Linked DNA regions of Ovis aries. The protein of the gene in region 2 interacts with the protein of the main gene of each other region in a biochemical or structural test. Links are inferred from orthologs where the notes say so. Each region holds a gene or a part of one and is shown on either strand. Other genes may lie near its edges.

Region 1 (5,052 bases), on a different chromosome or scaffold from region 2:
GAATTCTCTGAATCTGTGCACAATAAGATGGGCCGCGATCTGACAGGATGTGCCCCTTCTTTCTTGCCTGTGCCATCCACCCTCCAACCACAGGCAGCATGAAGAGTTGGCGCTGCAGACATGCATGCCCACAGACCTGCTCACCAGGACAAAGCATCACAACCTGCTCTGTGCTTGGGAGGGAGCAGCAGGCTCTGGTTTGAACATATGGAGGGATAGTCCATAATTACGTCTCTACCTTTTCTTTCCCCACTAGGTGCAGAGATATGAGGAACCAGCTAAAGAGTATCTACTATATTTATTCATGGTGAGCTCTGCATAACAATTCTTCACTTTTCTAAATTAACCGTTAATGAAATTCAAAACACTAAGTCAAAGTTCTTCCCTCATACCCATTCTTAGATCACAAGACCCACACTCTCCTATACTCCCGAGCTGATTATTTTTGTCTATGACTGACAGAACCTTGACAAGTTGGTAGAAACTCCCACAAGGACAATACAATTCTGTGAAAGGGACCATCCTAAGAAGCTCTCCACTTAATTCCCACCATTGACACCCTTCTGAGTTCACCCTTCTAAATTCTGCTACTGAAACTGTCCCATTAAGGTGCCCAGTCAAGTTATATGCTGGTTTGTTTTTTAATTTAAAACACACTTCACATTGTTCCTGATGGCAAAGTACCCAGAGCACGGGGAACTGCAGGCCTGGGTCTACCTCAGGGCTCCTGAAGGCCCAGGGTGATGGTGGCTCGCGGGTCATGATTACCTCTGGTGATGGTGACCGAAGAAGCGGACGTCAACCTGGTTGTCCTCTTTCTGCATGACTTTGGCCGGCCAGAATCCAAAGCCTTTCATCTTAGCCCAGACCAGCTCATGATTAGGTATCTGGAAATAAAACGTTTTATCTTGTCATATTACTCGTAAAGTATTAAATACAAGTTTATCATTAACACTGACCTACTTAGGTATAATATTTGCAATACTTCTTTTATAAGTCCTAAACATACAGAATGTACCCCCACCCCAGGACTGATTGATTTTTGCCTCCAAGAAACACACCAAAAAATTAAAATTTCCATAAGCAATGTGGAGTGAAAAGAATCTCCTGACAGCCCATGGAACTCTGGAAGGAAACCAAGACCCATGTGAGTACCAAAGGCAAACTGAAAACCCTAACTTTGCTTCATGAAATATAGTCCAACCCTGGAAGCTTGTAAGAAATGGGAGATTTTCAGGCCCTCCTCCCAACCTACTAAGTCAGAGATGCAGATTTTTATGAGACCGTCAGGTGCCTGAAGAGCACTGTAATGTCTCAGGAAGTGGGAGCTCTCAGGCAGGCTCTTATACCCTTGTGGTGGGGAGAGGAGAAACCATTGGCACTAACATGTCATTCTAGGGGAAATCACACAGCTATACATAAAGACTTAGATTTCTTGTGAGATAATGAAATTTTTTATTTATTAAGGGATTTGATGTTTATTCCCATTCTTAAAGTTCTCATTTTAAAGTCAGAAATGCATACTGATCCCAAGTTGTTTTTTTTCCTATGTTTCAGTTTTCTATACTCATTAAAACCATGATATAAAGAGAAATATTTAGAAGGATTATAATCTTAAACCAAACTGGAATAAACTTCCTTAGAGCAGTACATCAGAGACACTGAAGAGGTTAAAAAAAAAAAAAGAAAATCTCAAAATTTCACATACACAAGGATAGCAGAACCAATTATCAGGACGAGCATTTGATAAATAGAAGCAATTCTTACAAAGCTGCAGTTCATCCAGCTGAAAAAGAAAAATAACTGTTTAGCCTCCATAAAATAAATGCACGCACAAAACTAGAGAGAGGCATGTAAAGCAGCATTCTCTTTCGTGTTTCCAGTCTTCAACTCTAAGCTTCAAAGCTGAGTTCGCCAATGCCACTCTCTTGTCTGAACCTCCCAAGAGGGCCCAGAGTACACTCGAAAGAAAAGACTGATTCCTCAGGGCGCACTGCATCTGCCCTTGGCTCCCCAGCCTCACCGGTACCTTCCAGTTCAACACACAGATGAAAGGCTATTCCCCCAGAAATGTCTTCTTGAGATGCCCACAGAAAATACCCACTACCAATAAAAGCAGCCCTTACTCTGCCTCATTCTCCATTTTAGTTCTGTTTTCTTTCATATTTTCTGTAACTTTTGTAAAGAAACTAATTTGTCTCTCCTTTTCCTGAGTCTCCTTCCTCAGAACACAGCTGTATGAGCAGGAAGCCAGCATCCTGACCCCTATTTCATTCCTAACACAGCACATAGCACACACTCAATAAACATGTTTAATGAATGGAAAAGTCATATCATAAATGGAATAAAGAAACAAAACTTTTTATATAAATTGAGACACTTTTGCAAAGATAATATGGTTACAGATGAATGTTTTAAATAAGAAAGGCCACCCAAAAAAAAATTTCCTAAATATATATTTCATATATTATTAATTATGAATGCTGATGTTGGGCTGCTTTTTTGCCTGTGTAGTGTAGTAAGAACTCAAATTTGTATCTTTTATTCAAAGAGGGTAACATTTATTGAGTGCCTGCCCAGTGCAACACATTTACATGCAGTCACATTAACTAATTCACTTTAGGGTAGTTAAGGAAAACAATTTCCTCTTGTTCTCACTAGAAGTTACTTAGTAACTAAGTCTAATTCCCAGAATTAGAGTCTCTGAGAACAGTTCTGCCAGAATTCTAGCCTCTCCCCCGGCCCCCGTCTCTCTGTTTGCATTATACACCATGTATGTCAAACATGGAAATATGATTATATTTAAAGAAATGGCAACATTAAAATGTACATATCAGAATGGAATTCTAAAACAGGTTAATGTAGGAAACAGCAAGCATTCAGGTGCTAGGTGTGGACAGTACCTCATGGCAGGTGTCTTTATAGAGCATCCGTGCTATGTCCGCTTGCTCGCTGTCTGCTGCAATTATAAAGACAGGTGTCTATCACCAGTAATCCCAGGACTACCAGGAAGCACAAGACTACCAAAATTCATATAGCCATTTAAATTTTCTTTCAGTTTAACAAAAGTGGACATATACCACGGAAAATAAAAACATGTATTTATAATTCAGGCAATAAAAGAAAAGTAAGCAGGTAACTTTAATTTTATATTCAACACAACTTAATACTCTCAGTATAGATTGGCCTCTTTCACTCCTTTTGAATGAGGGGATATTGAAGGGAAAAAACAAATACTAGAGTTCTGCTTTTGGCCAGTCAATTCTATAAGCTATATGTAGTTATCTATATTACTAAATATTTTTAAGTTTAAACCCTAACATTATTACTTATAGATTGTTCAGGTATTGTTTTAGTGTAATGTTTTATAAAAGATATTTCTCGACATGCAATGTAAACATATGAATAAAAAAAACTACACAAAAAAAAATATTGAACCTCCATAGAAAATGACTGTGTTGTGGAGAAGCAACTGAGCGTCAGCTTTGAACTCTTCATAACTTCGGTATTTCCCTTCGTTCACTTTCTGCAGAGGGAAAAAAACCAAAATGGCCAATGGTTAATAGTGACAACACTTGCCATCAATTTAACAGTGTTAGAATGTGGGAAACAGCAAGATTTTCCAGAATGGCATTACGACTGCTCCTGTGTCTACTGCTCCTGTGTCCATACTGACAGAATGTTCATAAAAGAAACCCACAACTCCGTCTACACTCAGGGTATGCCAGGATGGTGAAGTGCGGAAGGTCCCATATTCTCAGTCATGTTGTTACTGCAGTGTGAACATCTCATCTGTAACAATGATAAAAGCTGCGGCTAAGTGCTGTACATAATGAAAGCTTTGGTAGTGGGGTTGATGAGACCTAACTACATATGTACCATGTAGGGAATATGCTATGCACAGGCCTGTACTATAATTAACAGGGCTTCTTTGAAAAATAAGAATAATTTTCTCAGCAACTCTCTCAGGGCTCTGGTTTCGAGAACAGTCACTAATATGAAAAGTGAAAGTGAAAGTTGCTCAGTTGTGTCTGACTCTTTGTGACCCTGTAGACTACACAGTCCATGGGATTCTCCAGGCCAGAATACTGGAGTGAGTAGCCGTTCCCTTCTCCAGGGGATCTTCCCAACCCAGGGATCGAACCCAGGTCTCTTGCATTGCAGGTGGATTCTTTACCATCTGAGCCACCAGAGAAGCGCAAACCATTTATGTAAGTCAGGAAAATAAAACTGAAAGAAGAAACAGCTGTTAGCCTCTGTGACAGATTACCACAAAGAAGACAAGGCAATTCTGAATTAGAGCAAGGTGGCTGACATAGTTTTAAAATCAAGTCCTTGCTGGTCCTCTGCGCACCAAGACAGTCGATGGCGTCTGTCTGGCATCGAGGGTCACAGGGCTCTTCCATGAGCACTGATACCCAAACTCCACCCTGAGCGTCTCAGTCTTTGGTTCAGGGGCGCAAGGTACCACCAGGCTGCCTGCCTGCACCCAGGTGGGCACACCCACACCCAGCAGTCCGCATGCATCATCACAGCTCGCACTTTGGTCTCCACTGTAAACCTTTGGAAGCATAAAAACCAGGTCTTCCTCCTCTTCATTTCCTTCAGGGTGCTTCTGCTCATGGTCAGCACTTGCTAATAAGACACCCTCAGCCCCGCTACTGAGCTCCCTGAACTGAGGGAGTCAAACTGCAGAATGTGGGGGCACCACGGGGGGAGGGCAGGAGGGACAACCAGGCTCTTCACTGTTTGCAGAGGTTACGCAGTGTAGGGGTAAGAGGTAAAATTAAAATTGCTCGTGTTTATGAACAACCTTCACTTGCCCATTTCTTCCACTAAAATAATACACCTTCAGTTTTTCCAGCTATTAAGCAGATTAAGGAATGAGCAGATGATTTAAAATTACTCCAAGCCTCTTGATGAAAGTGAAAGAGGAGAGAGAAAAAGTTGGCTTAAAGCTTAACACTCAGAAAACGAAGATCATGGCATCCGGTCCCATCACTTCATGGGAAATAGATGGGGAAACAGTGGAAGCAGTGTCAGACTTTATTT
Region 2 (5,505 bases):
CACGTGTGACTCCTGAGCACTTGGCCCTGGACGAGGGCGGACTCAGATGTGCTTGCCCTCGATTTCAAAGATTTCGCAGCGAAAAGTCAACTATCTCAGTTTTGACTCTTTATTTACTGTGTGTTTATGTAATATTCTGAATGTGTTAGGCTAACTGAAATTAATTTCATCTACTTCACTGTATTTAACTGCGGCCCTTAGAAAACTTAAGAGCTACATGTATGACCTGCAATTGAACAGTTCCCTAAGTGACCTGTGATTTGCTGTAATCAACTGAAAACTTATCTGGGGCCCTAAAACGTTACTGTTTGCCAGGGTAAGTTAAATATTAGTACATGAGAAAAGTACTTAGGTAATCCTGCCAGAGCATTAGATGAAAAAAAAAAAAAACAGAGCAACTGAAGCTGATTTTCGAGTACCCTGGGAAAGCCCCCACGACAGCAACCCACCCTCCTGGCTTCAGGACCAGGAACTGGAGATCTAGAATAGGGAACTTCAGGGGTATCTCTCACTGCCCACTCTGAGGTCTCCACTAGGTGCTGCTACCTGTTTCAACCAAAACTTTGAGTAATTAAAATATTGTGCAATGGCTAAGGCTGACTAGCAGAGGCAAACAGCATATTTTCCTGTAACTACTTAATTCGAGTTTGTCCTTTCTTATTTTCCCTTTTTGGTCAACATTATGGCTAAACCAGACCTCCTAAGGACTCAGCATACAGACACAGACACACCTCCTTGGCTAGAAAGGCAGTGTGGGAGGAGAGTCCCTGCCACAGGGGAGGCCAGAGGCACTGGGTGTATGTGGGTGGGGGTGGTGTGCACGCTCAGTCGTGTCAGACTCCATGACCCCATGCACTGGAGCCCGCCAGGCTCCTCTGTCCATGGAATTTTCCAGGCAAGAATCCTGGAGTGGGTTGCCATTTCCTCCTCCAGGGGATCTTCCTGACCCAGGGATGGAACCTGTGTCTCCTGCACTGGCAGGCAGATGCTTTACCACCGAGCCACCTGGGGGCTGGGGGGAGTTGTTAAAAACCTCTGAGGGCAGGTCATCATCAGGGTGGCCAATCAAATATCAATATACACTATGGATGATCACTGCCCTAGTAGGTTCCTCCTTTCAAAGACCTAAGCCTGAGCTGAGGGACCACACCTTGCCACCTTACTCAACAGTCTGACATCCCTGAGAGGTAGATGTTATGCCATCTGACTGAGAGGCTACAGAGACCCCCCTGTCCCAGGACTTTGCCCAGGATCTCAGGGCTACTACTGGGGGCGGGGGGACCCTCAGGAGCACGGAGCAGACCAAATCCCATTGGGGGTATGGTGCGACCTGAGCTCCGCCTTGAGCCAGGATCCCCTGAATGGTGAGGCCTGGACCCTCCTCCCAGCAGTAAACAGCAGAGATCACACACAGATACCACAAGACTAGACTCCTGCTCGAAGACTTTGCACAGATGCAAAATGCTCCTTAATGGAGAGCTTTATGCCACCAATCTGCATGAAAGCAGCCCTGTCACCTGTTGATGACATCAGCAAGCCTCAAAACAGGAGATCAAAATGAAAGGATATCTGGGGTGTCGTCAGTTACCCATCTCCTTCTCCAGATGGGCAGACTTTATTCCACATTCTTGAGCTCCACGGAGATGGACCGAGAATAGATGTGGAAGGCCATGGAGCAGCCTCGCCTGGTTTTTGTGTACAAATTCTGCGAGGAAAGGCAGTCTACCACTCCCATATAAAGAGCTCTAATTACCAGCTGCGGAATAGAATTCTTTTGTTGTCCGGCTTTTAATTTGTTTTGTAAAAACCATGTAGAATCAGAGTGCTCTACCAGTGGTTTCTGGCAAACACTTAGCTAATCAAATTTAAGTTCCCGTTTTACTCAACAGGTTCACAGGTGGCTCAGTGGTAAAGAATCTGTTTGCCAACGCAGGAGACACAGATTCAGCCCCTGGGTTGGGAAGATCCCCTGGAGAAGCGAACGGCAACCTACTCCAGTATTCTTGCCTGGAGAATCCCATGGACAGAGGAGCCTGGCGGGGTTCATGGGTTTGCAGAGAGTGAGACGTGACAGCGTCTAAACAACAGTTCTACTCAACATGGCTTGTGAAGATAGCAGACAGGCCACATCAGTCCACATAAATCAATTTCACATTCAGGCCTTTCTGCCATTGCCCTATTGATCGCTGCTCTTGAGCAACAACAGAAAAAAAATTGGGTAAATGGCAGACATGTTCAATTTTAAAACAAGTAGAACTTGCTCAACAACAGGACCCTTATGGGAACAAGTGATTGCTTCTGCGAGATTAGAGCACAGGTTTGCATTTAGGCAAATTGAAAAAGGAAAAAAAAAAAAAAATCAAACCCTAAGCGCACTTTTGAAGATTGGTTTTCTTTTTTCCTTTGAAAGCTATCAATTTAGGGAGAGGAAAGACTAATCCCAGAAATGAGTGTTAGACTATTTCCCTGCAGGACACACAGTGCTCTAGTTTACTGTACTGTGATATTATTCATAATTTTAATAAACCTTAACTTAGAGATTTATCTCCCTGATTGGTGGCGGTGTGAGACGGCAGAAATCGCACAGGCGCTTCCACTGCACGGAACAAGATGAATCTCTTACCGGTAAATTAAAATTAATTACCCCTATCTCCAAAGGGGGCTGCTCATTTCTTTATTCCCTAAATAAACTGCAGGTCAAATACTATTTTAGGATACCCTACAATTGAATACAGGCCAATACAAAAGTCTCGAGTGCTTACAAAAAAAAAAGGCCATATACGCACAAGCGCTGTTACCCCTTCGTCCAAAATGCTGTAAGATCCCGAAACTGGAGGCAGCCTTGCGCACCCATAAGCCCATTTCCGACACTGTCCCCACGTTCACCTCCCGGCATCAAGGGGCCCGAATGCAGAGGTCTTGGGGAGCCCGCGGGGGTCTCGGTAGAGCCGCCGGACCCTCCCCGGGCCCCCGTCGCCTGCCGCCCTGGCCGGGCCCCGGACGCGACAGCGCAGGTGACCGGGAGCGGGGGTGGGAGCCGCAGTTCCTCAGGTGTTTCAGGCGCCCCGGATCTTGCCGGGCCCGGCGCCCTCCGGTAAGTCACCGGCAAACTGGGGCGCGCCAGGGCCCCTCCGACACCTTCTCGCGCGTCCCCCAAGCCCCCAGGCGAAACCAGGTTCGCCCGGCGCCCACCGGCAGGAGCCACCCCCGCCTTCACGCCTGCCTTTCCTTTTAAAACAAAAGCAAGTGAAACAAGCCGGCGCGCCCGGCCCGCCCCAGCCGCCTCGGCGACCCCAGGCCCCGCGGCCCAAGTTCGGAGCCGGGTCCGCGCGTCACGGCCGGGCCCACCTCGAACCCTGCTCGCCGCCCACCCACCTACCCCCAAAGCCACTCGGCCACCCAGGGAAAGAGCCCCAAGCGGACCGATCCTGGACGCGCGACCCCAGAATCCCACGAATAGTCGCCACCCTGCCTGGACACCAGCTGCGCCCCGGGGATCTGGGGCGCCACCCGCGTCCCCAACTCGGTTCCTGGGTTCCCCGGGAGAAAAGCGAGCGCCGCAGGGCGCTCCCCGCCCGCCGACCCCCGCCGGACCCCAGCCACCCCACCCGGCCCGACCCCGCTCTTACCGCGCCGCTTCGGGCAGGGCCGCCCGGGGCTCGAAGCCCGGGCTTCCTCGGTGCGCGCCGGCGAGAGCGCGGGCGCGGGCGCGCGAGTAGGGTGCTCGGGGAGCCCGGGGGCGGCGGACGGGCTCGGGGCGCTCGGGAAGGCCGGGGCGGACCGGGGACGGCGGGCGGGCTCCGGGAGATCCGCGAGGCCTCGGCGGGCCAGGGCCGGCGGGCCGGCTCGGGGCGATCGGGGCGATCCGGGCTGTGGCTGCACCGCGCTCAGCGCCGCCGCCGGAGGAAGTAACCGGCCGGTCCCCTCCGCCGCGCGCTCTTCTGGAGCCGGGGTATCGGGGGGAGGAGGGAGGAGGGAGGAGGGAGGGGACATAGGGACAAGGAGGCGGGGCGGAGGGGGAGGGGAGAGAGGAGGAGGGGCGGCGGAGGGGCCAGGCGGGGAGCCTGCGTGCGGAGAGGAGGGGCCGAGGGGAGGGGAGGAGCACGGAGCCGGAGGCGGAGCCGGATCTGCCCAGTCGGACCTCGCCCGGCGCCTGCTGTCGCTCGGCGGCCGCTCACCCAGGGCCGCTGCGGGTCTGGGCCTCCGAAAGTCCTGCGCCCCGAGCCGTGTGTGTCCCGGGAGCTCAGGACGAATCTTTCTTTCTTTCTTTCCCGGGTCCGCCGCTTTAATCCCCAAAGGTGCCCTGGCAGGACCGGAGTAGCTAGCTAGCGCTGGTGCCACCGAGTGGCCGCGGGGTTTGGTCCACCGGGGGACTCACTGTGGCCCCATTCTTGGACATGCTTATGGACTTATGATTTCCGATAGTTTTTATTCCGAGCGTTCTGTCGGGAAACACGCTGAGATGACAAAGGTACGAAGTGGACCCTCGGTCAGTCACGAAGTCCCCCTGCTCCGGGAAGCACCCCCCTCGCCCCAATCCTGCAGCCTCCGTGTGAGAAGCGCCCCTAGAGTTGAGCGGTGCCTTGGTGATAACCAGCCTTGGCTGGGCTTCCCTGGGTTGTGCCAAGTGGCTTCAGTCGTGCAGACTCTTTGCGACCCCCTGGACTGTAGCCCGCCAGGCTCCTCTGTCCATGGAATACTCCAGGCAAGAACGCTGGAGAGCATAGCCATTTCCTCCTCCAGGGATCTTTGAACCCAGGGATTGAACCAGCATCTCTTTCATCTCTTGCATTGGCAAGCGGGTTCTTTACCTCTAGCGCCTGGGCTAGTCCTCCGTGATAATTCTCCAAGGCCTCATTGTCCTCGCTTTATATATGAGAGAACTGACCCTTAGGGCAAATAACTTGCCCAGTCAGAAGACACACAAATGGGAGATTCAGGGTTGAAACTCCAGTTTATCTGACTTCCAACTATGGTCAAAACTGTGACCGGTACCTCCCGTTTCCATTTTTAGCAGGAAATACTTGAGTCTCTGGCTAGAAATGTGCACATTTCCTATTCAGATTCAGATCAGATTCTCAGTATTTTGGTGGAAGATTTAGTTTCCCAAAGGTGGGTGTAGAATGAAATAGCTCAGCTTAGGCAAGGCCAGGGACTGGAAGTTGGTGCATCTCAGAAACCGCAGTGCTGTGAAGGGAGAGGGAGACAGCCTTCACTTCTCTGTTGCCAACGTTCCCGGTTTCCATGGCAACCCTGAACCCAGGAGTTGTTCAGATAACTGAGATAGTATTGCACCTTAATGTTTACAGGTACCTGAGGGTCTCCAGGACTCACCATTGCATAGGTCAGAGGCCGGGTCTATACAGCTCAAATCACCAGGAGCAGAAACGGTTGATAGTTCCAGCAGATTGAACGGATTTTAATGGCTTCTCTGTGTACATTCAGGCCTGGATCAGAAATCATAGATGGATAGATCAGGAAGGAATTTCATAAGTGGGATACAGA
Region 3 (5,052 bases), on a different chromosome or scaffold from region 2:
AGCTTCCATGAGAGGAGGAAGTCCGTAAGTAGTCCATAAGTGGCCTTGAGCTTGGGAGTGGCCCTCCTCCTAGGATGGGGAATTTGGGGTAAAAGGATGGCATTTGGGGAAGTGTGGACATGAGTGGATTTTAGTAGAAAGAAATCATTGTTGAGGCACTGCTATTGCATCTTCACCCAAAACCCAAAGCCTTGTACACCTTGTTTCTTTAAATTCCTCTCTCTCCGCAGTTGATCAATATGCAAGTCAATATAGGCCTAGGTCTGTTCCTCCTTACCCCACAGAGTAATAGAAAAACAAGTCATCTTAGCACTGTCACTTGCCTTTCTCCACTGCACTTCCTTTAGATGAGTCAGCATGTCAGTTTCAGTAGTACAATGGCATGTGCTTAAAGTTTCGTGGAGTATTAACTATTAGAAAAAATACCTTTAAAAGTATTATACATGACTTATTTAAGAGCTACATACTTATCATAAAATGTACCTTGGAAATTGCTTTTCATTTATAATAATGAGGTGCTTGGTGTATATAATTGTGTCTAATGAGCATTAATGAGTTTGAGATCTGAATATTCTTCTTAGAAAAGTTAAATAGTATGGAATATGTAATTATCAAGGGCTTTTTTTTAAACACATTTTGGTTTCGTTAAGTTACTCGGATAAGTGTTTGAGTTGTTTATATTATAATTGTGCTGATGGTGATGTGAAGATATTATTATTACAGTAATGGTCTGAATTTTAAAGAAAAATTTTGTGATAGTGTTTTATGTCTCAAAGATCTTATGTTATAGTATCAGTTTTATAACCTGCTGTTTATGACATGGCTCTGAAGTTTGGGGAAGTTGGAAAGAAAGGAACTGTTAAAAATAAGAATCAGTGGTATGATGCAGAACTTCTGCCATATGTTGAATCGATTAGGACATTTGGACGATGGACAGACAGACGGACAGATGGGTATTTGGGTCTTCTCTGTTAACTTTGAAGCCCTTGGGAATGGAGCTCTTTATGTTGCTACAGATTTTCCTCAGTCAGCCACGGTATTTCTTGAACAGCTTCACATAGCAGAGAGCTTAGCATCGTGCCCTCCCACGTAGGAAACTCGGAGCAGAGAAAGGCGTGGTGTTGCCTGGTCACTGTACACCATGGGTTCAAGGAAATGCAGTTTTGTTTTTTGGAAGATTGTGTCAGAGATCGTAATTAAGTTACTGTTACTTGATACCTTTAGTAATTAAGATATTAATTAGGTTAATAAGTAACAGAACTGACCAACTAGGCGTCTCCTCCGCTCCTCCTCCTCTTCCTCCTCTGTGCCTGTGCACTGAGCAGTGAGGGACCCCGAGGAGCAGCAGCAGGAGGGGCTTCTTAGCTCGCCTCAGTGGAGGCTGATGACCCCCATGTTTTCCCATGTTTGCTGTTTCCCCAGAACAGACTTCTTATGAGCCTCTACATTTAATACACGCTGACCTTGACTGTGTGATCGCTGATTTTCTGGTCCGTTGTTTTCTAACATAGAAGCTTGAATTCTCTTCAGATTTTTGTTCTTCGGGTGCCGCTGTGCAGATGAAATTAATAGAATGGGCTCCTTCTGTCTGCACAGTTCCTTTCTTGGTAGCGGGGTTCCAGTGCTTCATGATATACATAGGTGGTCTTCTGATAAAATTTTACTTGTTTTTCAGTCGTTTTTAACTCACTTGTAGACTTTTCCCTTTTACTTATCTCTTGTGTTTGTCTGTTTGTTCTTATAGCCATCCTGGGGTCTCCAGCTAGTGGAATTCAAAACACCATTGGTTCTGTTGGCACCGGCCAACAGAATGCCACTTCTTTAAGTAACCCAAATCCGATAGACCCCAGCTCCATGCAACGAGCGTATGCTGCTCTTGGACTCCCCTACCTGAACCAGCCCCAGACGCAGCTGCAGCCTCAGGTTCCTGGCCAGCAACCAGCACAGCCTCAAACTCACCAGCAGATGAGGAGTCTCAACCCCCTGGGTAGGTGAAAGGACTCTCGAGAACTTCCTTGTGCAAATGCAGTGTCGGGAATGACGAGCCTTCTGGAGCCCAGGGCTGTTTTCAGCTACTGTTTTACTTTAAATTCAAATTTTAAATTTAAATATATATATATGTAATAAAATTCAAATATATATATTATGGTGAATGGTGTCTTTTAAATGATTAAAATAAAAAAATTCCAGGAAAAGGCTAAAGAGTCAGGTACACTGAAGATGTTACAGGCTTGTAAGATGAATCACATTTGCAAATGAACCAACATTTTTGTCACTTGTGTCTGGATAGTTTTCATAAAGGGCATTTCACATGGCTCAGAATGCAAAATCTCACAGGTTGGAATTAGGGCAGTACCACTTGCCTTGACTCTGCAGCTCCTAGCATTTCTTGGTTGTGGACTACGTGTGACTAGAGCCGACCAGTCTGAATCCGGCCAAGCTAACAGGGATCTCAGAACAGGGTTGTTGTGGTGGTTTGGTTCTTTTCCTAATAAAGTATTTTCACTTTAAAGATACTTCATCTGTTGCGTGTTGGGAAATAGTTGCCCTAATGCATCTCTGACTCCTGCTGGCTAGAAGACTGGGTTGGAGTCTTGAAATGTCCCTTCCAGTCTGACACCACTTCTGTTGGTGGTATAATCTGGAACAAGACTATTAACCTGCATCCCACCTTTCTCTTACTTTAGAACGAATACTGTAGACAAATTGACCTTTTGTCTTCTTCACGTGAAGTTAATTTCTATGATTTTTATCTTCTGATATGCAAAACAAAAAGATGAAGAAGTGTATGTGATGGGAATGAAGCCAGAATCAAAACCGAAGCTGCAGATGGATCATTTCTGATTTTTTTCCATAGCCGCCAAGCATTCATGCTGCCAGCCAGCCTCCGTAGAAATGCTCTTCTTTGGTTTTCAAGTGCGATGGGAAGCAATTGAATTTATACAATTTGACCACCATTATTGAAAATATAACTCCCAGAGTTCCTGCCATAGCATTTATTATTATGAGTCATAAGAATAATTTTCATAAGAATCATTTCTTTATATGTGACTTATCTGTTATTAGGACTTTGAGGTGTATAATTTAGGAGCTCGTTGATTCCTTTTCTTTTTGTCTTTCAGGAAATAACCCAATGAACATTCCAGCAGGAGGAATAACAACAGATCAGCAGCCACCAAACTTGATTTCAGAATCAGCTCTTCCAACTTCCCTTGGGGCTACAAAGTAAGACCCTTGTTTCATTTGGCTCCTGTCTGAGTGACAGTCACATGTTAAAGTGGGCTGGGAACCACATAGAACTCTTGGTTCTTTCTAAAGTGTAGGGCTGTTTCCCTCCCTCCCTTCTCTCTCCCTCTCCCCTCCCTCCCTCCCTCCCTCTTTCTTTCTTTCTAACAGATAACAGAGTTTAAAGTCACATATGGTTGAAGACCCTTAGTTGGATGAATGTCATGTGAGTCACTTTTCCAGTTGGATGACCTGTTCTTCCTCTCCCCTCAGCCCCCTGATGAATGATGGCTCAAACTCTGGGAACATTGGCACCCTTAGCACTATACCTGCAGCAGCACCTCCTTCCAGCACTGGCGTTCGGAAAAGCTGGCATGAACACGTCACTCAGGACCTGCGGAGCCATCTAGTGCATAAACTGTACGTGGCCCTCTCGCCTGTTACTCACATGTGATGGAAGCACTTTGTGACTGATGGCAGTGTGATAGTTTTGCAGTTTCCTGGGTATCTGATTTAACTCCCAGGTGTTCTTTTGTGTCCCAGGTGATCATACCCTTGCAACTGAAGGGGATCACGTGCTTGTTTAGGGAGGCTGGAGGATCCCAGATTCTGAGTGCCCAGTGGATCCTGGAAAGGAATATGAACTTTGACCCATGTCACAGGGGCAGGCCTATTTTCTAAACTCTCAGTGCATGGGGAGCTGGAACTCACTCAGAAGCTTGTCTTATTTTATGGCTCAAGGCTATAGTTGTGGGGAGCCCTGAGAATTGCAGGAATTTGGGCCTAGTAAATACGGATGGCTTCACAATACCATCATACAATTAACATGGGAAATTAATAGTTGATTTCTCCAGCAATTTAAGTTAAATGAAGGGTGACATTAATCAACTCGATTCCGATGGAGTTTTCTTTTTTTTCTCCTTCATTATTTTAATCAAAATTTTTTGTACTTAGTAGTTTAAAGATTAGGAATTCAAAATCATATTATTCTTGAGTTGGTCAAGCACTTATTGTTAATAGCAAAATATTGTTGTGTTTGATTTGTGGATAAATTGGCAGATCAGCATTGTCTCCAGAGAGTGACTGCGCATGAACTAGGCAAGAGATTGGGGGTCTCTCAGCAATGTACTGTGCCCAGAGGTAGACCGCGGTTTCTTCTCTTCCCGGGTCACGTCTGAAATGGCAGGATGTTGACATTGTACTAAAAGTAGGTTGAGAGTACGCGCTGTCCTTTCAGTGTCCAAGCCATCTTCCCGACACCTGACCCTGCAGCCCTGAAGGATCGCCGCATGGAGAACCTGGTGGCCTACGCTAAGAAAGTAGAAGGGGACATGTACGAGTCTGCCAACAGCAGGGTGGGTCAGCGTTCGCGTTCCAGCCGCATGGCCCCCGGGTGACCTGTGACTGCAGGTCTGGACGTGGGGAGGAGGGGGGCTTCCATCAGCCTGCTGGTCTCCTCGCCTGAGGACACTGACCAGGGAGATGTCCCAGCTAAGACTTGAGGTCCTCCCTGCATACCTCTCTTGGTTTGTAACTGCAAAATCTTAAAGTGTCCCCACTACAGGGGTAAATGAAGTTTTTCTAATTTGTGGGTATACTTTATAGTGGAGTGTTGTTATACTATGTTGTCACCTGTGTCAGTGAGTATGCAAGAAGAGGTTCAGCTGTGGAATGAACTGTCATGAGGACTTAGTACCCCCTGACTGTTAAGTCACATAGCATCCCTGGGCTTTGGTTTATGAGTTAGAAGTGCTGAATACTTTACCCAGTGTAAATAATTTTAATTTAAAAGTTCATTAGTTTGTTAGACCCTACAAAACCAGATCA

Evidence for each region.
Region 1: the proteins of ETS2 (region 2) and ZMYND11 form a complex in vitro, tested with the Homo sapiens proteins (2 studies listed by BioGRID). The link is inferred for Ovis aries from reciprocal best matches to the Homo sapiens genes ETS2 and ZMYND11.
Region 3: the proteins of ETS2 (region 2) and CREBBP form a complex in vitro, tested with the Homo sapiens proteins (2 studies listed by BioGRID, with this or other methods). The link is inferred for Ovis aries from reciprocal best matches to the Homo sapiens genes ETS2 and CREBBP.

What each region holds. Positions count from the first base shown.
Region 1 is NC_056066.1:46,443,603-46,448,654, forward strand, and holds part of ZMYND11 (zinc finger MYND domain-containing protein 11), read right to left. Parts: intron 3,527-5,052; coding exon 3,439-3,526; intron 2,960-3,438; coding exon 2,904-2,959; intron 1,787-2,903; coding exon 1,709-1,786; intron 888-1,708; coding exon 769-887; intron 1-768. UniProt on the Homo sapiens protein: Chromatin reader that specifically recognizes and binds histone H3.3 trimethylated at 'Lys-36' (H3.3K36me3) and regulates RNA polymerase II elongation. Does not bind other histone H3 subtypes (H3.1 or H3.2).
Region 2 is NC_056054.1:271,783,436-271,788,940, reverse strand, and holds the start of ETS2 (protein C-ets-2), read right to left. Parts: upstream 3,915-5,505; 5' UTR 3,630-3,914; intron 1-3,629. UniProt on the Homo sapiens protein: Transcription factor activating transcription. Binds specifically the DNA GGAA/T core motif (Ets-binding site or EBS) in gene promoters and stimulates transcription.
Region 3 is NC_056077.1:3,655,716-3,660,767, reverse strand, and holds part of CREBBP (CREB-binding protein), read left to right. Parts: intron 1-1,744; coding exon 1,745-1,987; intron 1,988-3,122; coding exon 3,123-3,225; intron 3,226-3,498; coding exon 3,499-3,645; intron 3,646-4,462; coding exon 4,463-4,580; intron 4,581-5,052. UniProt on the Homo sapiens protein: Acetylates histones, giving a specific tag for transcriptional activation. Mediates acetylation of histone H3 at 'Lys-18' and 'Lys-27' (H3K18ac and H3K27ac, respectively).